4 linked regions of the Anolis sagrei genome follow. The main gene of each other region encodes a partner of the protein of the gene in region 2 in a complex. Links are inferred from orthologs where the notes say so. Each region holds a gene or a part of one and is shown on either strand. Other genes may lie near its edges. The genes, in order: GTF2H4, GTF2F1, GTF2A1 and POLR2K.

Region 1 (8,013 bases), about 140 Mb from region 2:
AAGAATGAGAAAAACTGAAGTGAGAAATATGCTGAGTCTTTAAATTCTACTATCAGGATATATGTGTGCTTTAATCTCCCCACTGTGAGGGTTTGACGGCTGTTAATCTAAGCAAAAATACATCACCGACAAAAATGAAACTATGTGAGACCCATCATTCTTAGAAGGCAAAGAGCCTATAACCATTTCCCATGCTCTCTAGAACTTGACTTACCACCGTACCAAAGCATCTTCAATAGCCACAGTTAAAGCATGACCCAGGTGCAGGGACCCTGTGACGTTAGGTGGAGGAATAGAGAGAGAAAATGTTTCTGGCTTCCGATTCGGCAAATGATGCTGCCAAAAGAAAGAGAATGAGATCAGCATTGGCTGAAGTCAGAACAACCCTCACTAGACAATGAACTTTCAGGGCCCCAGAGATTGGATTATTAAAGCCCCTTCTATACTCCCATATAAATTCCAGATTATCTGCTTTGAACTGGATTATATGGCAGTGTAGATTCATATACTCCAGTTGAAAGCAGATAATGCAGATTAACTGATTTGATAATCTGGATTATATGGCAGTTTAGAAGGCACCTACCTGTCATGAGAATATAAAAAAAGTCCACCTTCTAAAATTCTGTAACCAACCAGATGTTTTGTGGGAAATCAAGAAGCAGAGCATAAAGCCGATAGCATCCTTCTGCTGTTTGTTCCAAATTACAGATTTAGTCTCTCTTATCTAAAATGTTTGGACCAGAGATTTTTAAAATTATTTTGGTTTTTTAAAAAAAACTGTACTTGTATATGCATAGTGAATGATGGGTGGGGGAAGGGGGCTAGTTACACATCCAGCCCTCACTGACCTTTTATCAAGAAGCTATTACTTCACCACAGTCAGAACCTTGACAGATAAAAGGAAGTCGAAAGGACTCCGGATTCTGCTACTACACTTACACAAAGTCCTTGTAAGAAGCAAACATCAGGGAAGGCAAAGTCTAAATGAATCTGGCTGCTACAGATTCAGGGGATGTTTCAAAGCCCCAGCTGGCCAGCCAATCTTGCCCCATTTCCAGGGCACCCATCCCACAGTTAGCCCGGTAGAAGGAAACATGGCATCAGTTCTCAGACAGTTGGAGCTTTGCAACATTTTCTGAGCTGCAGCAGCTGGATGCATTTGAAAGTATCCCTCCCCTGACACCTGTCTTTTTACAGGGGTTTGTTTAAGTCCAACAGTAGAATCCAGAGTCCTCACTCTTCTCTTTCCTCCATCAAATTTCTAATTGTTGTGTAGCACACACACTACTTAATACAGGAACTTAGCGACTACAGCAAGCAGCTGCTAGGAATTGTGGGAGTTGAAGTTCAAAACACCTGGAGGGCTGAAGTTTGCCCATGCCTGAACTACAACAACCTCATCCATCCTCTGTTTAAATGCCTCCGGCAAATGACAGCCTGCCAACTCCCGAGCCCTTCTTTCCACTGTCCTACAAAATCTAAGCATTACAGTAAAGATGGATATGTAATCATCTCTTGTTGGACTTTAATTCCCATCAATCCTTGCCATCATAGTCAATGGTAAGAGTGTCACCTATTCCAAAACCTATAGTGAGGGGGCCAAATATTGTCCTGATTTGTTTTTTTCCAACTCATGCTTCATCTTCCAACTCAGTATTCATCCTTCTGTTGGTTCAAAGGAGAACATTCCCCTCTCATTTATTCATGAGGATGCTTTTCTAATACAATTAGATCACAGAAACAAATTTCTACCTGGTATTCTGGTTTGAAAAATCCTTCTTTCACCCACCAAGCATACCAAGCAGCTTCAACATAGCGTGGGCTATAGGAGATGGGCAGAGGCCCCGAAGTGTCTGTGGAGGGAAATGCAATCAATACAAAGACTCCATCATTACAACAAGCATTTGCACATTCCACACACTTAAAATTTGTACAAATCTGGGTTTGTTATTGTATATCTTCAAGAACTTCCTGACTTATGGTGGCCCTAAGTCAAACCTCTCCTTACCTTTCTTTTCACCAGCTACGGTTGGGATGTCATACAGAGCCATGTCTCTTGCTCTTCTGCCCTTTCCTTGGCTTGGATGCTCATCCTGTGAAGAATAAAAACAGGCACGAAAGAAAACTCCTGCCCTGTGTTTGAGAGACCTATGCATTGTTAAAAGCTGATGTCATGACAAGTAACTATAATAATAATTTATTTATTTGACTAGTTATATGACCATTTCAAAATACAACACGAATAAAATACAAGGCAAAAAGGAGAGGACAGCAGCTGACCTTCTATTTAAAGTCAGAATCTTATTTTCCTGGTTCTTCTTTCAAGTAACTATAAAAATCATGTTGATAAGCCACTGTACATCACAGCTCTGAGGGTATATCTGCACTGCAGAATTAATGAAGTTTCATACTCCTTTAACTGCCAGGGCTCAATGCTAAGGAATCATGGGAGTTATAGAGACAAACGATAACACCAATGATTCCTTAGGATTGAGCCCTGGCAGTTAAAGGAGTATGAAGGAGTTATAGAGTCTCAGAAGCCCCAGTTGGCGCAATGGGTTAAACCTTTGTGCTGGCAGGATTGATGATGGACAGGTCAACAGTTTGAATCTGGGGAGAGTGGGTTGAGCTCCCTCTGTCAGCTCCAGCCTCCCACAAGGATGGTAAAACATCAAACATCCGGGCATTCCCTGGGCACCGTCCTTGCTGATGGCCAATTCTCTCACACCAGAAGCAATGTGCAATTTCTCAAGTCGCTACTGACACACACACAAAAAAAAGAGTCACAAAGTCCGTAGCCTTCTCTAAAGGTGCTGTTGCAAACAACAACTCCAATGATTCCACAGCACTAAGTCATAGCACTTCAAGTGGTGTCAAAATGCATTAATTTTACAGTGTAGATGCACCCTGAGAAATGGGCAGGATAGGAATCAGATGCTTAAATACATACTCGTTTCTGTTAACTCTAAACTTAATCAGATTTGTCCACAATGAGTAGTTGGGCATCATAACCTGCTTCACTCACCTTCATCCCAGCAGTCAGTCCAGCTTCAATGGACGCCAGCCTCTCCCGCTGCCGCTTCTGTTTCTCGGCCCTATTTTTCAAATGGGCCGTTTTCCCCACTTGACCGTGAGGTTCCTGCTTGTTGGCTTGGGAGTAATTCCTCCAGTGGGCAGGAGCATCCCAATGCCTCTTGTGAAGCCGAAGAAGCAGACGGCAGACAGAACACATATTTCGGCCAGGATTAAGTGATGGTGATGGCATGCTTGGAAGTGGAAGCTTTCAATTGTCGCAAAATCTTTTCTTCGCTAATAAAACAAACCAGAAATTACATATTTAAGTAGGGGAAATCCAACAGGTCAAACTCACCAGCTATGCAGAAGTTTGACAACGGGGAAAACAGGGGATGGATTTTGTATTAAAGGCACCTGAGCCTCTGTTCAGAGGCTGAGATTGTGTGAGTTGCTCAAGGACCCCCAGTGCTTTTCTATGGCTGAACAGGGATTCAAACTTTGGTATTGCAGTTAATAAAGGTGCATGAACATTGCAGAAATAATGTAGTCTGACAACTTTAACTAAAAAAAATCATTAATATTAATACTATTATCATTAATAATACTATTATTAACACTATCTTGTTGGTTTGTTTTTGTTGTTTATTTGTTCAGTTGCTTCCGACCCTTTGTGACCTCATGAACCTGTTCCTGATTTGAAAGTGTTATTTTCTGTTTAATGGTGCGATGCGTACTTTGAAAGTTTCTGGAAGTCCACCTTCTAATCAAGGTGGTCAGTTGAAACATTCACACCTAGCTCCAGCAGACAAGAGTCCTTTGTCTCACCCTGGTCATTCCACAGATATATAAACCCCTTTTCCTAGTTCCAATAGACCTCACTACCTCTGAGGATGCTTGCCATAAATGCAGCCGAAACGTCAGGAGAGAATGCCTCTAGACCATGGCCATATAGCCCGAAAAAATCTACAACAACCCAGTGATTCTGGCCATGAAAGCCTTCGACAATACATTCTCACTGTTACTATTATTAGGTGCCGCCGGTGGTGCAGTGGGTTAAAGCGCTGAGCTGCTGAGCTTGTTGACCGAAAGGTCACAGGTTCAATTCCAGGGGGCGGCGTGAGCTTCCGCTGTCAGCACTAGCTTCTGCCAACCTAGCAGTTCGAAAACACGCAAATGTGAATAGATCAATAGGTACCACTCCGGTGGGAAGGTAACGGCGCTCCATGCAGTCATGCCGGCCACATAACCTTGGAGGTGTCTATGGATAACGCCGGCTATTTGGCTTAGAAATGGAGATGAGCACCACACCCCAGAGTCAGACATGACTGGACTTAATGTCAGGGCACAACCTTTACCTTTTATTACTATTATTCTCTCAATCAGTCTCAAGGCAACCAATAAGATGCTAAAAACAATACAAAACCATAAAACGTTATGCAAGTTTTAAGAAAAATCTTTACAAAGAAGATTAAACCACACACACTGACTGCAAGCAGGAGAAAGCAGGCGGGCGGCCAAAGGGAGTGTCTACACTGTAAAATTAACCCAGTTTGGCACCCCTTTGTACTGTCAGGGATGGAGGCTATGGAAAGCTAGGGTGTTGTCGCTTTACAAGGCTTTCTCTGCCCAAGAGAGCCGGTGCCTGGCCAACCTACAGCTCCTGGGTTTCTATAGCTGGTCCAAGTGGCGCCAAATTCCTTTCATTCTGCACACACCTGCATCAGACCCCATGGAAGGAGAGGCTTGTGCTGCTTCTCTGTGGTCGCTTCCGGGTGAGGTGCATGATGGGAAATGAGGCGGGCTGGACCGGAAAAGCCAGGCAGAGAGGAAGAGGAGCAGAGGGATAGAGCCTCGCCTGGAGCATCCTTCCTGAGGGTGAGGCTGAAGGCCAAGGATGGGGAAAGGGAGAATCAAAGAGGCACTAAAGCAAGCCTGGGCCAACTTGGGCCCTCCAGGTATTTTGAACTTCAACTCCCACAATTGGCTGTTAGGAATTGTGGGAGTTGAAGTCCAAAACACCTGGAGGGCCCAAGTTGGCCCAGGCCTGCTTCAAATGCATCTAACTATCTTTCACCTTTTGTTGCCACATCAGAGATGTCCTAGCCACAAACTGGACTTTTTCGCATGGAGTCGGTGATGAAGCTCCAGAAGGTGCACTTGAAATGCAAGAATCTGCACGAATTCCTGCGAGGCCTCAGTCCTGGGGTCTTGGATCGCCTCTACAATCACCCCGCTACTTGCCTGGCTGTCTTCCGGTGAGTGTGAAGCCCCCATGTTTCCTCTTATCTGAGTGCTGCTCTTTCACCGGTCTGAGATTGGAGAAGACATAAAAACTTCGCTATGCTTCATTAAAAAATATAGCCCTTCTGATTCACAGGTTTTTGTAGCACTAAAGCTGCATAAACTGTAAATGCAATGCACTTTAAAGAGTGTGTTGAATGCACTCAATACATACAGTGTAGCAAACTCATCTAACCACTTCATCACGCTAGAGCAGTGTTTCTCAACCTCCCTAATGCTGCAACCCTTTAATACAGTTCCTTATGTTGTGGTGACCCCCAACCATAAAATTATTTTTGTTGCTACTTCATATCTGTAATTTTGCTACTGTTAAGAATTGTAATGTAAATATCCCTCCCATACCTTTTCCTATTACTCTCCCAACCCTCTATCCCAATTCTTTCCCATTTTATGTATACCTTGGAAAACTCAATAAAACATAATTTTTTAAAAATCTAATATGTAGGATGTATTTTCATTCACTGGACCAAATTTGGCACAAATACCCAACATGCCCAAATTTGAATACTGGTGGAGTTGGGGAGGGATTGATTTTGTCATTTGGGAGTTGTAGTTGATGGGATTTATAGTTCAAAGAGCATTCTGAATTCCACCAATGATGAAATTGAACCAAACTTGGCACACAGAACTCTCATGTCCAACAGAAAATACTGGAAGGCTTAGATGGGCATTGACCTTGAATTTTGGAGTTGTAGTTCACTTCACTTTATTTCTTAATTAGTCGTTCTCCACCAAGGCGGTCTGAGCGACTTACAATTTAAAATAGCATTTATACAATATAAAAACATTCAACATAAAAACATACAACAGTGACTATTTGGCAAATTAGATCTGATCACTTTACTTAAATGCACAACCACCTACATCCAGAGAGCACTGTGGAGTCAAACAATGATGGATCTGGACCAAACTTGGCACGTATATTCAATATGCCCAAATGTAAACACTGGTGGATTTTGAGGAAATAGACCTTCACATTTGGGCATTGTAGTTGCTGGGATTTATAGTTCACCTACAATCAAAGAGCATTCTGAACTCCAGCAATTATAGAATTGGGACATACTTCCCACACAGAACCCACGTGACCAACAGAAAATACTATGTTTTCTGATGGTCATTGGTGACCCCTCTGACACCCCCTCATGACCTCCCCAGGGGTCCCGACCCCCAGGTTGAGAAACGCTGCACTAGAGGGGGGGAAATCCACTTAAAATCTGGTTTCTGCCTCATGCAGACTTCTGGGGTTTGTAGTTTAGTGAGGCTGTCAAAGGCTCCTCCCTAAACTACAAACCCTAGAATTCTGCAGTAGGTAGAAACCGAATTTTAAATGGATTTTAAGTGTCTGTATATTGTTTATACAAAGTGGCATTGAATGTTTGCCGTGTATGCGTACTGTGATCCACCCTGAGTCCCCTTTGGGGTGAGAAGGATGGAATATAAATATTGTATTATTATTATTATTAATTCAAACTTGGCTCTTCGAGCAAGCATTCGGAACCCCGGAGTAAAAAGACAAACTAGAGTTGGAAATTGACCCAGGAACGGCCAAGACAATGTAACGGATGAAGATTTGAATGAGAGGACATAGTCTCTTTTTAAATTGTTTATTATGTACTGTCATTTATGTTTAATTGCACTTGATGTTTTTGCTTTATCAATGTATGTATTTTGTTTCGGCATCAAATTGTGCCGACTGTGTATACCGCCCTGAGTCGCCTTCGGGCTGAAATGGGCAGGATTGAAATAATATAAATAAATAAATAAATTCAAACACAACAAGATGAGTCCACAGCAGACAAGATCACTCTGCTGGCTGTTGTATTGGATCACACATCGGACACTTCCCAAATGTCTAGGACTGTGTGATGTATCGGCAAATAATGCATGCAGATCCCAGTAAGGTGGCCTTCTGCAGTTGGCAGATGGTAATTTTGTCAGCGCCGATTGTGTTTAAGTGCAGGCCAAGGTCGTTAGGCACTGCACCCAGTGTGCCGATCACCACTGGGACCACCTTTACTGGCTTGTGCCAGAGTCTCTGCAATTCAATCTTTAAATCCACATATCATGTCAGCTTCTCCAGTTGTTTCTCTGCAATCCTGCTGTCACCCGGGATTGCGACATCAACGATCCATACTTTGTTTTTTAACACGATCATGAGGTAAGGAGTTTTGTGCTCCAAAACTCTGTCTATCTGAATTCGGAAGTTCCAGAGGGGTTTGTCATGTTCATTTTCATTATTATTATTATCATTATTTTCGCTAGTGTGATTAGCCCTTTAGCATGCATCTACTCTGCACATTATAGTTTTGCAAAGAATTTAACCTCCTCTTCCAAAGAGTGCTGATGTCTCATTGAACTACAACTCCTAAGATTCCATAGCATTGAGCCATGGTAGTTAAAGGGAATTCAAACTACATTAATGGTACAGTGTATCAGTGTTTTCCAAACTGTGGTCTTCCAGGGCCCCATCCACACAGCTGAATAAAATCCTGCATTATCTGCTTTGAACTGGAATATATGGCAGTGTGGACTCTGATAACCCATTTCAAAGCAGATATTGTGGGATTTTCTGCCTTGATATTCTGGGTTATATGGCTGCATGGAAGGGCCCTAGGTGTTTTGGACCTCGGCTCCCAGAATCCCTGGTCGTTGCCCAATTATTATTATATTTATTTATTTATACTCAAAGCGGCTTTT
Region 2 (7,584 bases):
CTAAGAAGGCTGACCTCATAATGTCTCCATGGCAACACTGGCTGTGTTAGGTAGGCTCTCTTTGTAGCTTGTTCTTTCCTTCCTCCATTTCCCTCATGCATCTTCTCCCTCTCTTTTACTTTCTTCTTCCCTTGCATTCCCTCATATACTTTTCCTTCCATTCTTGTTCTTTTCCCTTCTTTGCTTCCTCTTCCCTACTTTTTCTCTCTTCTCTTCCTTCCTTCGTCCCTTCCTTTCTCTTCACTTCTTTCGTTTTCTTTCCTCCCCTCATTTTTTCCATTTTCATTCTCTCTCCTTCCTCTTATTTTGCTTTTTTCTCCTTCCCTTCCTTTTCCTCATACATACTTCATCTAGCAGGAGCCAAACCATTTCACTCCCTTTCTTTCTTTCCCAGTGGCATCAGAGGGTCAGTTCATCTACAAAGAGGCAATCCTTCATCTAGCCACATCATCCACTTTGACCTTTTTCTTTCTCTCTGCTCTGGGCCTGAAAGAGGTGTTTTGTTTTGTTTTTTAGTTCAAATCCCTCAACTATTTCAAGATGGATAATGAAGAGTATGTGTGCCAAGTTTGGTCCAGTTCCATGTAAGAACCTTTGTGGTACAAACAGACAAACCAACATTCATACATACATTCATACATAGACTTTTATTTAGTTTTACAGTACTTTGGATGCTGCCGATTACTAGGAACCTCTAAGAGGTCACATGCATTTCAAACAACCCCAAGATTAAAGGAACTCACCAAAGAAGTCATTTCTGGATGTGCAGTGCAGGTACTCAGCAATGACTTGGTAAAATACTGACCTGAAGGCGAAAGAATGAAATAATCAGGTTAAACAGGATGAGCAAAAGCTCTGTGAGTAAAGAAAGTCAGCAGAGGCACTGGAGAAAATGATGGCAGAGGGGAGAGAGGACTGAAAATACCAAATGGGAAAAGAGCAACAAGGAAAAACATCACTAAGGACTGCCACATTTTGCTGCCTCAAATTCTGACACTCCAGGAATATCTAGAGAAGTGTGGAGTGCCTTTTGTCGGAGCAGATTTTCTTTTAAAAGGACAAAATGTCTCCAGTGAGTAAAGGCCTAAATGTATAGGACCCGAAGTGTTTTAGAATTTGGACACATCTTGGAGATGGAGCCCAAGCCTAAACACATAATCTGTTTATGTTTCCTAAATATGCATATATATGTTTTAATTGATTTTAACTTTGATTTTAAAAATGTTTATGTTTGCATATTTGTATATTTTAAATTGTATGCTAATGCTTTTATGTTAAGCTGCTTTGAGTCTCCTTTGGGAGAGATAAAGCGGGGTATAAATATAACAATAACAACAATAATATCAGTTGAATAAAATCTCACATTATCTGATTTGAACTGGGATATATGGCAGTGTGGACTCAGATATCCCAGCTCAAAGCAGATATTGTGGGATTTTCTTCCTTGATATTCTAGGTTATATGGCTGTGTGGGAGGGCCCTGGGTTGTATGCAATTTATATATATAGATATATAGGACACTCACATCTGAATATACATATAGATATATTTAAGCCAGAACACTGGGCATCTGACTGTAAGGGTGCATCTACTACATGAAGGCAGTTCGACACTTAGGCCCCTTCTACACTGCCATATAAAATTCAGATTATCTGCTTTGATAATCTTTATTATATGGCAGTGGAGAAGGGACCTTACTTTTCACTGCCATGGCTCAATACTATGGAGTCCTGGGAACTGTATTTTGATGAGGCCCCAGCACTCTTTGGCCGAGAAGGCCTTGAAAAACTACAACTTGGTTGAAGGTTTAGAGGGCGTGATTATCAAGTTTGCAGATGACACCATATTAGGAGGGATAGTCTATACTCCAAGGACAGATCAGAATTCAAAAGGACTTTAACAGATTAGAGAGCTGGGACAAAAATTACAAAATGATTTTAAATAAGGACAAATGTAAGATACTCCACTTACGCAGAAAAAAATGAAATAGAAAGATAGAGAATGGGGGGTGCTTGGCTCAACAACAGTCCATGTGAAAAGATTTGGAGTCTTTGTGGACAACAAGTTGAACATGAGCCAACAGTGTGATGCAGCAACTAAAAAAGCCAACGGGATTTTGAGCTGCATCAAAAGAAGCACGGTGTCTAGATCCAGGGAAGTCATGGTGCCTCTCTATTCTGCTTTGGTTAGACCTCACCTGGAATAACACTGTGTCTAGTTCTGGCCACCACCGTTCAAAAGAGATATTGAGAAGCTGGGGTGGGTCTAGAGGACGGCAACTAAAACGATCAAAGGTCTGGAGAACATAAATCCCTATGAGGAGCGTCTTAAAGAGCTGTGTCTGTTTAGCCTGCAGAAGAGAAGGTTTAGAGGAGACATGATCGCCGTTTATAAATATGTGAAAGGGGTGTCATGAGGAAGAGGGAGCAGATTTGTTTTCTGCTGCCCTGGAAAATAGGACTCAATGGAGCAGTGGGTTCAAATGAGAGGAAAAGGAGATTCCACCTGAACATGAGGCAGGACTTCCTGACTATGAGAGCTGTTCTCTGCCTCAAAGTGTAGTGGAAACTCCATCCTTGGAGGCTTTTAAGCAAAGGCTGGAAGGCCATCTGTTAGGGGTGCTTTGATTGTGCTTTTCCTGCATGGCTGCAGCTTGGACTAGATGCGGTCTCTTCCAACTCTATTCTGTGATTCTAACTCTCACACATTGGACCAAGGCAGGTAAAAGGGTGGGGGGGGGGGTGTCAAACCACATTAGCATTACACTTGGTTGGCCAGAGAGAGAGCCAAATCCCTGGCTTAAAGGCCGGTCAATTCCCTTTCAAAGCCTTAGGGAGGAAGAAAAGAGGGCAAGGGGAGCCTCCCAAACGCAATCGCTGGCTGTTCTTAATGCCCCTTTCCTTGTGCCAGGCTGGGATGCCTGGTTCTAGTCTGGAGGGAAGGGAAAGGGAGTTTGGGGACAACCAAAGCCACAAAAGACAGCAGCGCCATGAAAGACTCACCCTCTTCTAGGCAGCTTCAGCCTCCTCTTGTTCCGCCGCCACTGCGCATGCGCCGGAAGCCGGCGGCCACCAAACACACTTCCGGTAGCCGAGTGCAGCTATTCTATTCCTCCCTGCGAGAGGCGTTGGCGGCCGGCAGGGGGCGCCCGCGAACTCTGAAATCAACAATCCGGCAGAGAGTTTGTGTCTTGGATGATTTTCTATGGCATTTGTTCCAGGTGCAGAGTTGATGCTTTCTTTCTTTCCCTCCCTCTTTCTCTCCTTTCTTCCTTCTCTACCCCTTTCCCTCCCTCTTTCTCTCCTTTCTTCCTTCTCTACCTCTTTCCTTCCTTCTCTCTTTGCTTCCATGCTTCCTTCTCCCTTTCCTTCTTTCTTTCTTTCCCTCCTTCTTTCTTTCCTTCTTTCTCTCCTTCCTTCCTTCCTTCCTTCCTTCTCTTTCTTCCTTCCTTCCTTCTCTACCTCTTTCCTTCCTTCTCTTTGCTTCCATGCTTCCTTTCTCTCCTTTCTTCCTTCTCTACCTCTTTCCTTCCTTCTCTTTGCTTCCATGCTTCCTTCTCCCTTTTCTTTCTTTCTTTCTTTCTTTCTTTCCCTCCCTCTTTCTCTCCTTTCTTCCTTCTCTACCTCTTTCTTCCTTTTCTCTTTGCTTCCATGCTTCCTTCTCCCTTTCCTTCTTTCTTTCTTTCCCTCCTTCTTTCTTTCCCTCTTTCTCTCCTTCCTTCCTTCCTTCTCTTTCTTTCTTCCTTCCTTCTCTACCTCTTTCCTTCCTTCTCTTTGCTTCCATGCTTCCTTTCTCTCCTTTCTTCCTTCTCTACCTCTTTTCTTCCTTCTCTTTGCTTCCATGCTTCCTTCTCCTTTTTCTTTCTTTCTTTCTTTCCCTCCCTCTTTCTCTCCTTTCTTCCTTCTCTACCTCTTTCTTCCTTCTCTCTTTGCTTCCATGCTTCCTTCTCCCTTTCCTTCTTTCTTTCTTTCCCTCCTTCTTTCTTTCCCTCTTTCTCTCCTTTCTTTCTTCCTTCTCTTTCTTCCTTCCTTCTTTCTCTACCTCTTTCCTTCCTTCTTTGCTTCCATGCTTCCTTTCTCTACTTTTTTCCTTCTCTACCTCTTTCCTTCCTTCTCTCTTTGCTTCCATGCTTCCTTCTCCCTTTCCTTCTTTCTTTCTTTCCCTCCTTCTTTCTTTCCCTCTTTCTCTCCTTTCTTTCTTCCTTCTCTTTCTTCCTTCCTTCTTTCTCTACCTCTTTCCTTCCTTCTTTGCTTCCATGCTTCCTTGCTCTACTTTTTTCCTTCTCTACCTCTTTCCTTCCTTCTCTTTGCTTCCATGCTTCCTTCTCCCTTTCTTTCTTTCTTTCTTTTCTTTCTTTCTTTCTATCTCTCCCTCTTTCTCTCCTTTCTTCCTTCTCTACCTCTTTCCTTCCTTCTCTCTTTGCTTCCATGCTTCCTTCTTCCTTCCTTTCTTTCCCTCCCTTTCTCCCCTTTCTTCCTTCTCTACCTCTTTCCTTCCTTCTCTCTTTGCTTCCATGCTTCCATCTCCATTTCCTTCTTTCTTTCCCTCCCTTTTTCTCTCCTTTCTTTCTTCTGTATCTCTTTCCTTCCTTCCCCCTTTTTCTTTCTCTTCTGCTCCCTCTTTTCTTCCTTCTCTCTTTCCTTCCCCCCTCTTTCTCTACATCTTCCCCCCTTCCTTCTCTTTCTTTCGTTCATTCTTTCCCTTTTTTCTTTCCTTGTCTCCTTCCCTCCTTCTCTCTTTCCTTCCTTCCCCCTTTTTCTTTCCCTTCCTCTTTCTCTCCTTGCTTCCTTCTCTACCTCTTTCCTTCCTTCTCTCTTTGCTTCCATGCTTCCTTCTCCCTTTCCATCTTTCTTTCTTTTTTTCTCCCCTTCCCTCCCTCTTCCTTTTTTCTGTATTGTCATTTAGCTTTTTGTCATTTAGCTTTTTGGGGCTTTTTTAAGTCCCTTCTGCTGTGTTTTTCAGTGTTTTTATGAGTGAAGGACATACATTTGGGTTGTAAGGTGTCTTGTGTCCAAATTTGGTGTCAATTCCCACAGTGGTTTTTGCGTTCTGTTAATCCCACAAATATACATTACATTTTTATTTATATAGACTAGCCGTCCCCTGCCACGCGTTGCTGTGGCCCAGTCTGGTGATCTGGAAAATAAAGTAATGAGAAAGTGTTGGTTTCTAATATATATAATGTCTTGATGCTTGTGGGTAAACAGTATTTCTTGTTGTTCCTTTGTCAGTGTTGATGTGGACAGTGTCTGGTTTGCCTACTCTGGAATATGCAACATATCATTGTCCTTTAGGGGTCTCTTTCAAATCTATGATACTATATCTGTGTGTGTGTGTGTGTGTGTGTGTGTGTGTGAATCATATCTATATCTATATCTATGGCTGGATGTCTCTTTGTCAGGAGGGCTCTGATTACATTTTCTTGCCCTGGTGAAGGAAGTTGGACTGGATGGCCTTAAATATTTTCTGTTGGTTATGGGGGTTCTGTGTGGGAAGTTTGCCCCAATTCTGTCATTGGTGGGGTTCAGAATGCTCTTTGATTGTAGGTGAACTATAAATCCCAGTAACTACAACTCCCAAATGTCAAGGTCTATTTCCTCCAAACTCCATCTGTGTTCATATTTGGGCATATGGAATATTTGTGCCAAGTTTGGTCCAGATCCATCATTGTTTGAGTCCATAGTGCTCTCTGGATGGAGGTGAACTACAACTCCCAAACTCAAGGCCAATGCCCACCAAACCCTCCTAGTGTTTTCTGTTGGTCATGGGAGTCCTTTGTGCCACGTTTGGTTCAATTCCATGGTTGGTGGAGTTCAGAATGCTCTTTGATTTTAGGTGAACTATAAATCCAAGCAACTACAACTACCAAATGACAAATTCATAATTTTTTGAGTTAAGGACATACATTGGGTTGTTAGGTGTCTTGTGTCCAAATTTGGTGTCTATTTGTCCAGTGGTTTTTGAGTTCTGTTAATCCCACAAACGAACATTACATTTTTATTTATATAGATAAAAAGGTGAGTATTAGAATCAAGTAAATACGGTATCTATTTATCTTTGGTTGGAGTTACACTTCAAACATCCCTGTTCCGACTTACATTCAAATTCAACTTAAGAACAAACCTATAGAAACCTACCTTGTCTCTAACTTGGGGACTGCCTGTGCAGGTTGAGTATCCTGTAATGCTTCAAAATCCAAAATTGTCCACTCAGATAGCTGAAATTGCAAAAGGCTTCCATTCTATGAGTTGATTGTACACACATTGTTTCATAGTTTCAGGGACAAAACAATACGGTATCTATTTATTTATCTTTGTTTGGAGTTATAAATAAAATTGTAATGTTCGTTTGTGGGATTAACAGAACTCAAGAACCACTGGACGAATTGACACCAAATTTGGACACAAGACACCTAACAATCCAATGTATGTCCTTCACTTAAAAAAATGATTTTGTCATTTGGGAGTTGTAGTTGCTGGAATTTATAGTTCACCTACAATCAAAGAGCATTCCGAACCCCAACAACAATGGAATTGAATCAAACTTGGCACACAGTTCTCCCATGACCAACAGAAAATACTGGAAGGGTTTGGTGGGAAGTGTCCTTTGGTTTTGGAGTTGTAGTTCACCTACATCCAGAGATTACTGTGGACTCAAACAATGATGGATCTGAACCAAACTCTACACAAAGACTCAATATGCCCAAATGTGAACACTGATGGAGTTTGGGGAAAATAGAATCTTGACATTTGGGAGTTGTGGTTGCTGGGATTTATAGTTCACCTACAATCACAGATCATTCTGAACTCCACCAATGATAGAATTGGGGCAAACCTCCCACACAGAACCCCCATGTGGGCCACAGCAACGCGTGGCAGGGGACGGCTAGTATTGTATAAAATGGCCTTCAGGTGACATGCCTTAGGTGTGTATGAAACACAAATGAATTCCCTTTTTAGAATTCTCATCTCCAAGCTATCTCATTATGTGTGTATCCAAAATCCCAAAACACTACTGGTCCCAAGGGTTTCAGATAAGAGCTACTCAACCTGAACTGCAGAAGACAAAGCTTGAGTTGGGAGAAAGGTCAAGGCGTGCTCGCTCCTCCAAGATTCATCATCACCTCCATACTTACCTTGTGTTGCCCTAAAGGTTCGACTTTAGTTTTCACCTTCAGCTTTTCTTTACATTGGAAGAGTCATCCTGTGAAGGAAGATCTGTTTCTTTCTCATCTTCTCTCACACCATAGACTAGGCTAGGTGTGTATTCATGTGTGTCTATATATGTATCTGTATCATCTATCTATCTATCTATCTATCTATCTATCTATCTATCTGTCCATCTTAAATTAACAATGTTGTTGTTGTTCATTCGTTCAGTCGTCTCCGACTCTTCGTGACCTCATGGACCAGCCTACGCCAGAGCTCCCTGTCGGCCGTTACCACCCCCAGCTCCCTCAAGGTCAGTCCAGTCACTTCAAGGATGCCATCCATCCATCTTGCCCTTGGTCGGCCCCTCTTCCTTTTTCCTTCCACTTTCCCCAGCATAATTGTCTTCTCTAGGCTTTCCTGTCTCCTCATGATG
Region 3 (7,656 bases), on a different chromosome or scaffold from region 2:
ATTACTGATCTATACAGTTTAGGCTTTTAAAAAATGATGATAAGAACCTCTGTTAACAAATTATTCAGTACTGCAAAGTAATTTCAAAAAGTAATTTCACTGAGGTCTTGTAGAATTCAAACTACTGTTACAAGCCTAATCTTTAGAGAAATTTATTTTCTTAAAATTTTATCTTAAAAATATAATGATAATTCATTGTGTAATGTTTTAAAGAGTATTAGCTCTTTGACTTTGAAAATTATTAGATATGCTAAATTCATTCTGCATTTCTGTGACAGATTATAATATATCAAGAGAGTATTTTACATATTGTAATAACTCTTGCAGCAGAAACGTTATCCAAGTTCTTGCCTTTTAATCCCTCAAAACCTAGAAATCACAATTTAAACCAAAAAAGTAATGTGTTCTAATCCAGTCAAGTCCAATTAATATCAGTGGGACTAAGCACTGAAATTCAAAAAATAGCCAGTATTAAGAACAGTTTAGTAGCACTGTTTTCAACTAGACACTGTCTCAACACTTTCTGCTAGTTTAGGAATCAGCTCAAGCCTCAACACCTCAATGATGAGAAAAATGACCACTTTCTTTTCATATTGCACTTCAGGACAGAGATAAATCAGTAAAAAAATTACACATCAATAAATAGATGACTTTGACAACCGAAATGTTTTTATAACACATTTACTAGCCAAGATTGCAATTTCTAGTTCTTATAGTCACCCAATCACTTACATTTGTTTCACTGCATACAAGCACAACACAAAAAATGCTTTAAGCGAAACAAATAAGAAAAGCTAACGGGTGTCCAAGTAGAAGAACCGCAAATAAAATCAAGAGCACCAGCTCACAAAACACCAACTCAAATAGAAAAGCTCTGCTGCTGCGAATAGTGCAATGCTGCAGCTTCCCAGCGACAAAGAGAGCGCTTTCCCAGCCTCTGCTTGTGCTGCGCAGGCACCTCCCAGCCTGCTCTCCGCAGCTCTCTCCCTATTTAAAGGCTGATCTGGTGTTTAAATGGAGAGGCGGTGACGTGGGGCTGGAAAGCACCTTCCCATCCTGGCAGAGTCTATATTAGAGAGCGGCAATGGCTCTATATAAACAGGGCAGCCACAGGGAGGAGGAACACAAGGAGCAGGGAGAGAGAAAAGCAAGGGGAAGCCATGATGGATCTCAGAGCACAAAATGAGAGCCGCCTGGACTCAAGGGTTTGTCAAGCAGCGATTTATTTTGCAAGGGGGGGGGGGGGATTGGAAAGGGCTTTTTTTTAAAAAGTGCATTTAGTTTAGATTGTATTTTTTTTTCTTTAAATGTAGTAAACAATAAAAAAATCAGGGAGGGGCAGGGTATTTTTTTTCTCCTTTCTTTCTTTCGTGTGACTGCTTATTGCAAACCGATGTGAAACCGAGATCCTGAAAAGTGTGCCTGGTAATCAACACAAAAATAAATACAATAACTGGTAGAGAAAAGAGTGGCTTTCTTTACAAATAAAAGGAAGAGTGAGGGAAAGACAAAAAGCATTTGACTGCCGGGGTTGTGGGGGGGATCCGGAAAGAAAAATTTAAGAGAGAGAGAAGAGGGAAAGAAACAGTTGAAACGAAGTGTGTAAAATGATAAAGATGAATAAATAAAATCGGAAAGGGGGGGGGGAGAACAAATGAATTCCTTCAGAAGAAAAAAAGAAATACTGGACTGGATTGAAGAAAGAAAAGACAGAAAGAAGATGAACTGAAGAAAGAGAAGACACAGCCATATAACCCAGAATATCAAGGAAGAAAATCCCACAATGTCGGCTTTGAACTGTGTTATCTGAGTCCACACTTCCATATATCCCAGTTCAAAGAAGAAAATTGGAAGGGGGGGGGATACGAAAGGGGCCTGAAATAAGATGAAGACAAAACAACAGGAAAGAGTGATTTCTTCAGAAGAGGGGGGGAAAGGAGATGGAAAGACAAATACTGAACTGCCCGCATCTAGAAAAGGAGTGGAAAGAAAGACAAGACGATGGATAGCAGTACAGAGTGGTTTCTTCATCCAGGGCCCTTCCACACAGCCATATAACCCAGATCATCAAGGCAGAAAATCCCACAATATCTGCTTTGAACTGGGATATACAATACCATATATTGGCAGTTCAAAACAGAAAATGTAGGAAAAATAAAAAAGAGGAGGGAGGTTAAAGAGAACAATTTGACAGAGATATAGAAAAAGGGGGGGGGGGGAGGAAAAAGAGTGATAAGATGAATAAAGCCATCACTATTGGACAGAGTTATAGAAAAAAGGTGGAGGGGGGGGTTAAAAGGGAAAAGGGGGATAAGATGAGTAAAGGACCAAAGAGTTGTTTCTTCAGAAGGAAATATTGCTCTGCCGGGCTGAGAATTCAAAGTGCTTTTCAACCTTGGCGTCCAGCAGAAGAGGCTAAAAGGGGAGCAAATGGGGTTATATCAGGCCTGGGCAAACTTGGGCCCTCCAAGTGTTTTGGACTCCAACTCCCATCATTGCTAACAGCCTCAGGCCCCTTCCTTTTCCCCCTCAGCGCGGCTGAGGGGGAAAAGGAAAGGGCCTGAGGCTGTTAGCAATGATGGGAGTTGGAGTCCAAAACATCTGGAGGGCCCAAATTTGCCCATGCTTGGGTTATATACACACACATGAGGAAAAGGAAGGGGAAAGAGGGCAACTAGGCGGCTCTTCTCCTCCACTCCCGTCCTTGGGTGCAAAGCAGGCCACGGGGCAGCTCCCCTTCCTTCCTTCTTGCTCTCCTTCCTTCCTTCCCGCCCTGCAGATCAGCCAGTCCCCAGTCCCCCTTCCCGCCCCTCTCCCGCGCCATCCTGAGGCCTTCCCTCCCGCCTCGCCTTCCTTCCTTCCTTCCTTCCTTACCACGGGGTTTGTATTAGTCGAGCTCGCCATGGCCCTTTCCTGAGGGAAAGCAATCTACCGTTCAAGGCGGCAGCACCAACCCCCCCCCCCTTCCTCCTCCCTCCCTCGGGTTTGTTTCTTGTTGTTGTTGCTTCCCCAGCCGGCCCCCCTCCTTCCTCAGCCGGCCTGAGAGCCCCCTTACGAAGCCGCTCCCGCTTTTTTTAAAGTTTCTATATCACCGGACCGCCCTCAGACGGCGGCCCTTGGGCTGCAGCCGCCAGCCAGCCAGCCGCCCGCTCCGCTCGCTTCGCCCCTTTATATAGCGAGTGCCGAGACGCTGCGCGAGCGGCCAGGGAGAAGGGGGAGGCCGAGGAAGGGAGGGGCGGGAAGCCTCGCGAGAAGGAGCGGGACTTCGCCATCCCCCTCCCTCGCGCCCGCCCAGCTACTTCCGCCTTCGCCTCCTGGAGAGTTCTGATTGGTCGCTTCATCCCCGCTTTCCCGCTCTTTAAGGTTGAGAAAAATGACCATAGAGGTAGTAACGTTTAGAGCGCTGCCACTTCTCAGGCCTACAACGCCAGCAGTATGATAATCCTTCCCGCTCTTTAAGGCTGAGAAAAATGACCATTTATTTTATTTATTTATTTGTCGTGTCAGGGCAACCAGTCAATTGTATTACATTTCTAACAGAACAAAGCAAACAAACAAACAGACAAAATACAAAATTTGCAAGTTTGGTAGTTGATTAAATGTCCTTTGACCAGTATCTGGCCACTTGGAGTGCTTCTGGTGTTGCTGCAAGAAGGTCCTCCATTGTGCATGTGGCTGGGGTCAGGGTGCATTGCAGCAGGTGGTCAGTGGTTTGCTCTTCTCCACACTCACATGTCGTGGATTCCACTTTGTAGCCCCATTTCTGAAGGTTGGCTTTGCATCTCGTGGTGCCAGAGCGCAGTCTGTTCAGCGCCTTCCAAGTCGCCCAGTCTTCTCTCATTTGGTATCAGCCATTGGTTGAGGTTCTGGGTTTGAGCCTGCCACTTTTGGACTCTCGCTTGCTGAGGTGTTCCAGCGAGTGTCTCTGTAGATCTTAGAAAGCTATTTCTAGACTATAAACTATGACTATAGAGATAGTAATGTTTAGAGCGCCGCTACTCCTCAGGCATCTGTATAAGGCCCTCAGGAATCTGTATAAAGACCAATTGGCAACAGTAAGACTTACTTTTGGCGATCCCTTGTCCAAGTAGGATAATCTTCCAGGATGGGTCCGTAGGTGACTATGGAGCCCTATTCTTGCTCTGCATCATCTTCCACAGTGAGGGCATTGGTTTCCAGGTGGAAGGCAGTCCCAGTCGGGGTTGGCTTGACGCGCCTTCCTCTTGGCACATTTCTCTTTTTCACCCTCCATTCGTGCCTCTTCAAATTCTGCAGCACTGCTGGTCACAGCTGACCTCCAGCTGGAGCACTCACAGGCCAGAGATTCCCAGTTCTCAGTGTCTATGCCAGAGTCTTTAAGGTTGGCTTTGAGCCCTTCTTTAAAACTCTTTTCCTGCCCGTCAACATTCCTTTTTTCATTCTTGAGTTCAAAGCAGAGCAACTGCTTTGGGAGACGGTGGTTGGGCATCCGGACAACGTGGCTGGTTCAGCGAAGTAAGAACTGACCAAGAACTTTCCCAATCTTGAACCAATAGACAGGTTCAAGATTGGGAAAGTCATACATCAGGGTGTATACCTATTCAAATTGTATGCAGAACACATCATGCGTTGTGCACGGCTTGATGAATGCAAGGCTGGGGTAAAAATTGCTGGAAGAAACATTAACAACCTTAGATATGCAGATGACACCACTTTGATGGCTGAAAGCGAGGAGCTGAGGAGCCTTCTAATCAAGGTGAAAGAAGAAAGCGCAAAAGCTGGGTTGCAGCTAAACATTAAAAAAAACAAGATTCTGGCAATCGGACTGATTGATAACTGGGAAATAGAGGGAGAAAACATGGAGATAGTAACAGACTTTGTATTCCTAGGTGCAAAGATTACTGCAGACGCAGACTGCAGCCAGGAAATCAGAAGACGTTTAGTTCTTGGGAGGAGAGCAATGACCAATCTGGATAAAATAGTGAAGAGTAGAGACATCACACTGGCAACGAAGACCCACATAGTTAAAGCAACGGTGTTCCCCATAGTCACCTACGGATGTGAGAGCTGGACCTTAGGGAAGGCTGAGCAAAGGAAGATAGATGCTTTTGAACTGTGGTGCTGGAGGAAAGTTCTGAGAGTGCCTTGGACTGCGAGAAGATCCAACCAGTCCATACTTCAGGAAATAAAGTCTGACTGCTCATTTGAAGGAAATTAGAGGCAAAGATGAAGTACTTTGGCCACGTCACGAGAACACAGGTCAGCTTGGAGAAGACAATGGAAAATGGAAGGAAAAAGGAAGAGGGGCCGACCAAGGGCAAGATGGATGGATGGTATCCTTGAAGTGACTGGCTTGACTTTGAAGGAGCTGGGGGTGACGATGGCTGACAGGGAGCTCTGGTGTGGGCTGGTCCACGAAGAATCAGAAGCGACTGAATGAACAACAACAAACTTCTCAGGCATTGAAAGTGGACACTGTGACAATCCTTCCCTCTTTTTAAGGCTGTGAAAAATGACCACAGAGGTAGTAACGTTAGAGTGCCGCTACTCCTCAGGTATAGAAAGCGGACACCGTGATGAGGCCTACTTCAATGGTCCTTCCCGCTCTTTAAATCTGAGGGCCCTTCCACACAGCCTAGAATATCAAGGCAGAAGATCTCACAATATCTGCTTTGAACTGGGTTATCTGAGTCCACATTCAGATAATGTGTGATTTGCTGCCTTGATGTTCTGTGATATAGGGCTGTGTGGAAGGGCCCTGAGAGAAATGACCATAGATGTAATAACTTTAGAGGGCCGCCACTCCTCAGGCATCTGTATAAGGCCAACACTGTGAGTCCTCTTTGGTCATTTCGGCCTACTTTCCCGCTCTTCAGTGGAGAAGCCTGGCTACAGAGTCGCAAAGGGTAGAGCGTCTCCAGAAAGAGAACGCGGTTTCTACATATCTTTCTTTCACCAGCCAGGTTTCTTGGCGGGGACTTCAACTCCCAGAGGCCTTTGCCAGCGTGGCCAATTGCCAGGCATTCTGGGAGCTGAAGTCCAAAAGGAGGAGCCAAGCCAGGAAAGGACGGCGCTCCCTCCTTACGGCCGGTGTTATGCGATATAAAATGACACGTTGTCTTTCCTGTCGGCTTCCTTTTCCTTTCCTCCGCAAAAAGGGCGCCATATATATTTTGGTCTATTTTGGCTTTTGGATTATTTGTATCTTAAAGGTAATTGTTTCCCCCCGACATTAAGTCCAGTCGTGTCCGACTCTGAAGGGGTTGCTGCTCATCTCCATTTCTAAGCCGAAGAGCCGGCGTTGTCCGTAGACACCTCCAAAGTCATGTGGCCGGCATGACCGCTTGGAACGATTTGTATTGTATTTGTATGTGTTGTCTGTGTCAGGCATTGAATGTTGGCCTTTTTATATTGGAATCCGACCTGAGTCTCCTTAGGGAGATAGGGCGGAATATAAACAAAGATTATTAAGATGATTATTATATAAAGGTAAAGGTTGTCCCCTGACATTAAGTCCAGTCATGTCTGACTCTGGGGTGTGGTGCTCATCTCCATTTCTAAGCCGAAGAGCCAGCGTTGTCCATAGACACCTCCAAGGTCATGTGGCCAGCATGACCGCATGGAGCGCCGTTACCTTCCCGCCAGAGTGGTACCTATTGATCTACTCACTTTTACATGTTTTCAAACTGCTAGGTTGGCAGAAGCTAGGGCTGACAGCGGACGCTCACGCCGCTCCCCGGAATCGAACCTGCGACCTTTTGGTCAACAAGCTCAGCAGCTCAGTGCTTTAACCCACTGCGCCACCAGCCCCCCCTTATATATTATATTATTATATAGGGGGGGAAATAAGGGACGTTTCTAATACCCCCTTTGTCCCTCCACTCTCAATGTCTTTAGAAACTAGAGTTGGAAGAGACCCCAAGTGCCATGCAGCCTAGCCCCGTTCCCCCTTGCATAAACACCATCAAAGCACCCCTGACAGATGGTCATCCAGCCTCTGCTTATAAACCTCCAGGGAAGGAGATCCATCTCACTGCTAGATAGTTCTTATTGCAAGGAAAGTCTTCCTAAAGCTTAGGTGGGATCTTCCCCCCCTCCCCCTGCCATTTGAACCCGTTACTCTATATCCTAGACTCCAGAGCAGGGGTCCTCAAACTAAGGCCCAGGGGTCCTCAAACTACAGCCCCCCCCCCCAAGGTCATTTACCCAGCCCTCGCTCAGGGTCAACCTAAATCTGAAATGATTTGAAAACACATAACAACAACAACAATCCTATCTCGTCAGCCAAAAGCAGGCCCACACTTCCCATTGAAATACTAATAATTTTATATTTCTTAAAATTGTTCTTCATTTTAATTTTTGTATTGTTTTTCAGTGTTTTTTGCACTACAAATAAGATATGTGCAGTGTGCATAGGAATTCATTCATTTTTTTTTTCAAATTATAATCCGGCCCTCCAACAGTTTGAGGGATTGTGACCTGGCTCTCTTGTTTAAAAATTTTGAGGACCCCTTCGCTAGACCATTAGAAACTAGCTCCCTCCTCAATGTGATATTCTAACATTCCATCCCACATTAAATTAAATGTGTTCAGCTGTTTCCGCACTAATTGGGAGCTCTGAAGACAATTGCTCCCCGATTCCACAAACCTCAGTTTCTGTACATTTTTGAAACAGTT
Region 4 (7,509 bases), on a different chromosome or scaffold from region 2:
ACTGTAACTTCGGTTTGCTTCTGATATGGTAAATTTTAAAAAATCTCAGTATATTTGAAGCTGAGCAAATGAATGTAAAATGACAAGGAAGACTCATTCCATTGTGCTCAGAAACATCAAGCTACAAATAGGCTTCAAAATACATAAATATGAAGCCAAGTGCCTGTTTTAAGGAAAGCTATTTGACCAGAGTATCAATACAAACAGGTTTGATTGATACTAATATTTTCCACACCTCAATACAAATTAACTCATAAGCGAATGCCATTGTTTCCAATGAAAGCTACTTCCAGGTAAGTGTATACTATAAGCTTGTAATGTTAACCACTCAGAATATTTTCCTCCAGTTAGTATTAAGAGATGCTCTTTTAGTATAATACTCAGACCTCACAACCTCTGAGGATGCCTGCCATAGATGCAGGAGGAGAGAATGCTTCTGGAACATGACCATATAGCCTGAAAAACCTACAACAATGCAGTGATTCCAGCCTTCCACAATACATTGAGTTAGTAAATGCTGGCTGTGTGAAATTCCCATCCTTCAAAGCAGGACAACTTACCAAATTACTTGGAAGACCAGCAATTGCTTCAAATGAAGTGCTTCATTATTATTGGAGGAGGGAAAGTAAAACAAAGAAACCAATAACCCCCCCCCCCCAAGAGAACTACTAGTAGTAGTATCCTAACTAATTAATAAGTTAATTTGAAGCAAAGCATGGAGTTCACACAAAAGCAATGAGCACTGAGTCTAGTAACATTCTATGTGCGTTCTTCCTTCCTTCAGGAGCAGGCAAGGGGACAGACACAACTCTTCTCATGACACAACCAGCTGGAGAGTCACTACAAGGGCGTTGAAAGGAGGCAAGAGGAGGAGGAGGAGGAAGAGTGTGCCCAATGGAAGGGGGGTTTAAAGCGGGGAGGGAGAGGATGGTGTCCAAGGAGCAGCGCTGAACTCCTTCCCAGCGTTGCCTCGGAGAAGAAGGGAGAGCTCTGCAAAGAAGCATCAGCAGCCACTTCTCCTCTTCTTCTTCTTCCTCTTCCTCCCTGTTGCTTCAACCGGCTGCCCTCGTGCGCCTTCCTCCTCAGGGTTTCCCTCGCTCCATTTTGAACTACCCGCCTTTCCCAACTGATTAGGCTTCTCCCCTCCTCTTCCTCCTCCTCTTTGGCTGCCAAGGAGAGGAAGCCACAACAAGAAAGCCCAGCCAAGAAGGCAGCAGCAGCAGCAGCAAAGCGCCCAAGAGGCTTTCCTGCACTTCTTAGAACTGAGCCAGGGCAGTGAAAGTGACCTCAAGCTACATTGTTCCTACAATGTAATCCACAAATGTCAAAGTCATTGTCATTTTTGTTTGTCGAAGGCTTTCATGGCCGGAATCACTGGGTTGCTGTGAGTTTTCCGGGCTCTATAGCCATGTTCCAGAAGCATTCTCTCCTGACGTTTCGCCCACATCTATGGCAGGCATCCTCAGAGGTTGAGGGGTCTGTTGGAAACTAGGCAAGTGAAGATTATCTATCTGTGGAACGTCCAGGGTGGGGAAAAGAACTCTTGTCTGCGGATGTTGCAGTTGGCCACCATGATTAGCATTTAACAGCCTTTAATTGCAGTCCAACACACTTCTGGTTCTCATGTTGGGGAAAGGATAAGAGATATTTTCAAGTCAGACATCATATCCATAAGCTTTATATCTAAATTCAAACCCTTTTTCTCCAAACTAAACAGAACGAATTGCAGCCTTCCAGATGCTACTGTATCACAGTTCCCATCAGCTCTAGTCATGATGTCTCAAGAGGAGGAATGCAGGTATTGTAGCCCAGTGTCTATCAAAACACAGATGCACCCAAAGAATTGGTGATTTATTAAGGGGAGCCCCCAGTGGCGCAGTGGGTTAAAGCACTGAGTTGCTGAGCTTGTTGATCGAAAGGTCGCAGGTTCGATTCCGGGGAGCGGCGTGAGCTTCCGCTGTCAGCCCTAGCTTCTGCCAACCTAGCAGTTCGAAAACATGCAAATGTGAGTAGATCAATAGGTACCGCTCCGGCGGGAAGGTAACGGCGCTCCATGCAGTCATGCCGGCCACATGACCTTGGAGGTGTCTACGGACAACGCTGGCTCTTCGGCTTAGAAATGGAGATGAGCACCACACCCCAGAGTCAGACATGACTGGACTTAATGTCAGGGGAATACCTTTACCTTTACCTTTACACCAGGCATGGCAAACTTTGGCCCTCCAGGTGTTTTGGACTTCAACTCTCACAATACCTAACAGCCAGTGCTGTTAGGAATTGTGGGAGTTGAAATCCAAAACACTTGGAGGGCCAAAGTTTGACCATGCCTGTTTTACACTGTACAATTAATGCAGTCTGATACCACTTCAACTTTCAAGGCTTATGGGAATCATATTTTTCCAAGGTCCTCAGCCTTTTCTGTCACAGGGCTAGTGCAGTATCAAACTATAACTCCTATGATTTCATAGCATTGAGCCATAGCAATTAAAATACTCTCAAATATGTTAGATAAGAATGGGAATCACCTCCTCCTCTTTTTAAAGGTGTGATTGGCCCTCCTTTGGGCCAATGGTGAGGAAAGCTGAAAATTGGAATCCAGTAACATGTGGGGTTCATCTGCACTTAATACAGATATATCCCATGTGTTGCTGGTGGGTTTGACACAACTTTAATGACTACGGTCCAATGCCACGGAGTTGTAGTTGCTGGGATTTATAGTTCACCTACAATCAAAGAGCATTCTGAACTCCACCAATGATGGAATTGAACCAAACTTGGCAGACATAACTCCCATGAGCAACAGAAAATCCTGGAAGGGTTTGGTGGGCACTGACCTTGAGTTTTGGAGTTGTAGTTCACCTACATCCAGAGAGCACTGTGGACTCAAACAATGATGGATCTGGACCATACATGGCACAGATACTCAATATGCCCAAATGTGAACACTGGTGGAGTTTGGGGGAAATGGACCTTGACATTTGGGAGTTGTAGTTGCTGGGATTTATAGTTCCCCTACAATCAAAAAGCATTCTGAACCTCACCAATGATAGAACTGGGCCAAACTTCCCACACCAAACTGTGTTTTCTGATGGTCTTTGGTGACCCCCCCCCCCAGGGGTCCCAACCCCTAGGTTGAGAAACGCTGCTCTACACTATAGGATTGATGTAGTTTGATACCACTTTAACTGCCAAGGGCTCAGTACTGGGAATAATTTATTTATTATTTATTTAGAGCTTTTATAACCCTGTCTTCTCAACCTCTGAAGAGGGACTCCGGCCGGCTAACAGCAGAAAAGCTACCTATCTAACCGCATCTCGGCCTATGAACCTACCAGGACTTTGAGATCTTCCGAGGAGGCCCTGCTCTCGATCCCGCCTGCTTCTCAAGCACGGCTGGCGGGGACGAGAGATAGGGCCTTCTCGGTGGTGGCTCCTCGGCTGTGGAACGCCCTTCCTACCGACATTAGACTAGCATCATCTCTAATGGTATTCCGCAAAAAAGTGAAGACCTGGCTGTTTGTGCAGGCGTTCGAATAACTAGTGCAATGATTGGCAATGTACATAGGAATGGACAATGGATGACGAATCTGGATTATGTTTTGGACGATGAGACGATAGTGATTGGTTATTGTAGTAATTGTTTATTGATTGGGTAATGTGTTAAGTTGGTAATTGTTACATTATTGCATTGAATTATTGCTGTTTGTATTGATTGTGAACCGCTGTGAGTTGCCTTCGGGCTGAGAACAGCGGTATATAAGCAAAGTAAATAATAAGTAAATAAATAAATAAAAGTCAACACAAATATAGTAAACATAACAGCATCGTAATACATTAAAATACAGATCATACAATATCATACAAGTACAAAAGTCAGGTCGTCAGAATAAAATCACAATAAAATCATGGAAGTTGTAGTTCGACAAGGGCTTTAATCTCCTCTGCCAGACTGCTCGGTCCTCATGATTCCAGAGCAATTAGTCATTGCAGTTAAAGTGGTCTCAAACTGCATTAATTTGATAGTGTAGATACACCTAAAAAAGCCTAAAGCTTTCACTCTGATGTGAAATTGTAGTTGATATTAAGGGCCCTTCCAAACAGTCATATAACCCAGAATATCAAGGCAATATCTGCTTTGAACTGGGTTATCTGAGTCCACACTGCCATATATTCCAGCTAAAGCAGATAATGTGGGATTTTATTTAGCTGTGTGAAAGGAAGCAAAGAAAGCAACTGCTTCTTTAGTAAAGGTTAAGTTGCCAAGGCAAAGAAAATCAGTGTTAATTTTCAGCCTGTCCCTTTAAGAAAACATCGGAGAGGAGCAAATTCAAAACGCCTCCATGTGTCTGAATTGGAAAACTACTCCTAATGGAAGGGGCGGAGCTTAGGGTTTCTCTCCCCTTTGCAGAGCTTTCAAACGTCATCAGACTGCGCCGTCAGAGGAAGGAGTGCATGAGTTGTGCACGAGCTGGTAGGGCGCATTGTTTTCAATCAGATTGTTGATGGGAATTTTGTTTAGACGGGGCTGAAAGGGACTTTGGAGCACTTTAAGAGCATCTACACCAGGCATGAGCAAACTTGGACCCTCTAGGTGTTTTGGACTCCAACTCCCACCATTCCTAACAGCCTCAGGCCCCTTCCTTTTCCCCCTAAGCCGCTTAAGCGGCTGAGGGGGAAAAGGAAAGGGCCTGAGGCTGTTAGAAATGGTGGGAGTTGGAGTCCAAAACACCTGGAGGGCCCAAGTTTGCTCATGCCTGGTCTACACTGGATTTGAAGCAATTTGACACCACTTTTAACTGTCATGGCACAATACTATAGCATCAGGGGAGTTATTTTATAAGGTCTTCAGCTTTCTCTTCAAGATAATGCTGGTACCTTAATAAACTACATCTCCCACGAGTCAATTATATGGAGTCGTGACATTTAACAGTGGTATCAAACTGCATCAATTCTGCTGTGTAAATGCACCCCCCAAAAATGAAATTGATACCAGTTGAATAGCTCTTATTTGAAATGTTTGGATCCAGAAATCTTTTGGAGGAGATTTTGGAATGTCCGTATTTGCATAGGTGTACATAAGAAGACCTTGAAGGAGCTGGGGGTGGTGACGGCCGACAGGGAGCTCTGGCGTGGGCTGGTCCATGAGGTCATGAAGAGTCGGAGACGACTGAACAAATGAACAACAACAAACATAACAAGATCTCTTTCAGCCCTTCCGCACGACCATATAACCCAGAATATGAAGGCAGATCACCCACAATATCTGTTTTGAACTGGATTATTTGAGTCCACGCTGCCATATAATCTAGTTCAGTGTGGATTTTATACTACTGTGTGGAAGGGGTCTTAGAGATGGGACCCAAGTCTGAACATGAAATTCATTTGTGGGTTGTTGTAGGTTTTTCGGGCTGTATGGCCATGTTCTAGAAGCATTCTCTCCTGACATTTTGCCTCTGACATCCCCCTGTGACCCCCAGGCTGAAGAAACGCTGCTCTACATTATAGGATTGATGTAGTTCGATACCACTTTAACTGCCAAGGCATCCTCAGAGATTATGATGTTCAGACCTCACAACCTCTGAGGATGCCTGCCATAGATACAGGTGAAACATCAGGAGAGAATGCTTCTAGAACATAGCCATATAGCCCGAAAAACCTACAATGACCCAGTGATTCCAGCCATGGAAGCCTTCGACAATACAAATTCATTTGTGTTTCGTATAAGCCGTTTAGACAGTTTGTATATATTGAACCAGCAGAAAACAAAGGCACTGTTATTTCAACTGCCCTTGAAAACAGTTTGGATTTTAGAATTGCATATAAGGAATGCTGAACGTGTACCATAAGTTTTCACAAATTGGGTTGTTGTAGGTTTTTTCAGGCTGTATGGCCTCTAGACCATGGCCATACAGCCCGAAAAAAACCTACAACAACCCAGTGATTCCGGCCATGAAAGCCTTCGACAATACATTTTCACAAATTGTCTGCTTCCTCAGATGCATGGATTCCTTGAAAGTCCATGAAAGTTTATGCCAACCTTGTTCTCTTAGGGCCCTTCCACACAGCCATATAACCCATAATATGTACTTTGAGTTGGGTTATCTAAGTCCACACTGCCATTTATCCCTGTTCAAATCAGTTAATGTGGGATTTTATTCAGCTGTGTGGAAGGGGCTTCAATGAGACTCTAAGATGCTCCAAGATCTCTTTGCATATATGTTGAGTCTCATTTCCCTCTCTGGGCTTCTTCTTTGTAAACACATTAACAGTAAGATTGAAGGATGTTTGAAGGGCTGAAGGACGCTCTATGTGTTTGAAAGCTGTAATTGGTATGAATGAGTTGTCTTCCTTTTACTAGCAGAAGATGGACACCCAGACTGATGCACCTCCACCAAAGCAGCAACCAATGATATACATCTGTGGAGGTGAGTCCAGTGCAATGTCATTGTAGTAGGAAGAAGTCTGAAAATGAGACCCAAGAAAGTAGATGAAAATGACATCAAGGGTACTTCTAGAATACATTTTCACTCTGAAATTGCACTCCCTCTTTCTGGAAGCTTATGGGAGCTCTAGACAACAATGTCTTATATTTGTATCCTCCAGAAATAAGATTTGTTTCTTCTACCTTTCCTCATCTAAATTCCTTTAAGGATTAAAACAGAATAGAAGCACAGCTACTTTCATTCACTGGAATTATTCTGCTAAATCATTTGGGAAATTATTATTTGGGTATTGTGCTTATGATCATGGCCCAAATTGTCTTTAGGTAAATGAAATCACACAGCATTAAGTCATGGCAGCTAAAGTGGTGCCAAACTACATTTATTCTACAGTGTGTAGATGTATTCTTTTCTGGGCGTACTGCAGCTGCGTTGTTTTGCTTTAACATTTATCTGGTGCATACTCTCTACTACAAATCCATGTACTATCAGTGCACTGTGGGAAGGATACTAGTTTGTGTTTCAAAGACTGTAGTTCATGGTATATAAATATATTGTGTGAGCTGCATTGAGGATACTAAAAAACTCCTATATTAATGTATTGTTTTAACAAATTCCAACTTGTGAAATGTTAAGATTCTTTCATAATCACAGTGAACTTAAATTTATAGACTATGATGAGAGGTTCTTAATTCCACTATTTTAGTAAATAAATCAGTCAAAATCTGTACTTTTAAACAAGAATGTTTAAAAATTATAAAATGTCAAGTGCTTCTGTTGCTTTATTCTCAGTTCTTTTGCAGTTGGTTTCCAGGATTGGCCTCATAATGTAATTCTTTTTCTTCATTTCAGAATGTCACAAAGAAAATGAAATTAAAGCAAGAGATCCTATCAGATGCAGAGAATGTGGTTACAGAATAATGTACAAGAAAAGAACAAAAAGATGTATCCTTCTATATGTGTGTCTTCCTTGCTTTATTTTCATACACTGATTCAGACTATATGAACTTCTAACATTCCTTTAGGCTGCAATGTTATACAAGTGTAACAACAAAGATTCATGGGGCAT

Evidence for each region.
Region 1: GTF2F1 (region 2) and GTF2H4 share a complex: the UniProt entries of both Homo sapiens proteins name them as parts of the TBP-based Pol II pre-initiation complex. The link is inferred for Anolis sagrei from reciprocal best matches to the Homo sapiens genes GTF2F1 and GTF2H4.
Region 3: GTF2F1 (region 2) and GTF2A1 share a complex: the UniProt entries of both Homo sapiens proteins name them as parts of the TBP-based Pol II pre-initiation complex. The link is inferred for Anolis sagrei from reciprocal best matches to the Homo sapiens genes GTF2F1 and GTF2A1.
Region 4: GTF2F1 (region 2) and POLR2K share a complex: the UniProt entries of both Homo sapiens proteins name them as parts of the TBP-based Pol II pre-initiation complex. The link is inferred for Anolis sagrei from reciprocal best matches to the Homo sapiens genes GTF2F1 and POLR2K.

Annotation. Positions count from the first base shown.
Region 1 is NC_090022.1:24,318,430-24,326,442, forward strand, and holds the start of GTF2H4 (general transcription factor IIH subunit 4), read left to right. Parts: upstream 1-4,801; 5' UTR 4,802-4,890; intron 4,891-5,107; 5' UTR 5,108-5,139; coding exon 5,140-5,270; intron 5,271-8,013. Other genes in the region: VARS2 (valine--tRNA ligase, mitochondrial), read right to left, coding at 215-336, 1,753-1,853, 2,009-2,093, 3,026-3,265. UniProt on the Homo sapiens protein: Component of the general transcription and DNA repair factor IIH (TFIIH) core complex, which is involved in general and transcription-coupled nucleotide excision repair (NER) of damaged DNA and, when complexed to CAK, in RNA transcription by RNA polymerase II.
Region 2 is NC_090022.1:159,537,654-159,545,237, reverse strand, and holds the start of GTF2F1 (general transcription factor IIF subunit 1), read right to left. Parts: upstream 3,076-7,584; 5' UTR 3,003-3,075; intron 806-3,002; 5' UTR 756-805; coding exon 744-755; intron 1-743. UniProt on the Homo sapiens protein: TFIIF is a general transcription initiation factor that binds to RNA polymerase II and helps to recruit it to the initiation complex in collaboration with TFIIB. It promotes transcription elongation.
Region 3 is NC_090021.1:309,778,570-309,786,225, forward strand, and holds the start of GTF2A1 (transcription initiation factor IIA subunit 1), read right to left. Parts: upstream 3,219-7,656; 5' UTR 2,905-3,218; coding exon 2,875-2,904; intron 24-2,874; coding exon 1-23. UniProt on the Homo sapiens protein: TFIIA is a component of the transcription machinery of RNA polymerase II and plays an important role in transcriptional activation. TFIIA in a complex with TBP mediates transcriptional activity.
Region 4 is NC_090024.1:31,136,382-31,143,890, reverse strand, and holds the start of POLR2K (DNA-directed RNA polymerases I, II, and III subunit RPABC4), read left to right. Parts: upstream 1-4,392; 5' UTR 4,393-4,471; intron 4,472-6,358; 5' UTR 6,359-6,364; coding exon 6,365-6,425; intron 6,426-7,292; coding exon 7,293-7,385; intron 7,386-7,509. UniProt on the Homo sapiens protein: DNA-dependent RNA polymerase catalyzes the transcription of DNA into RNA using the four ribonucleoside triphosphates as substrates.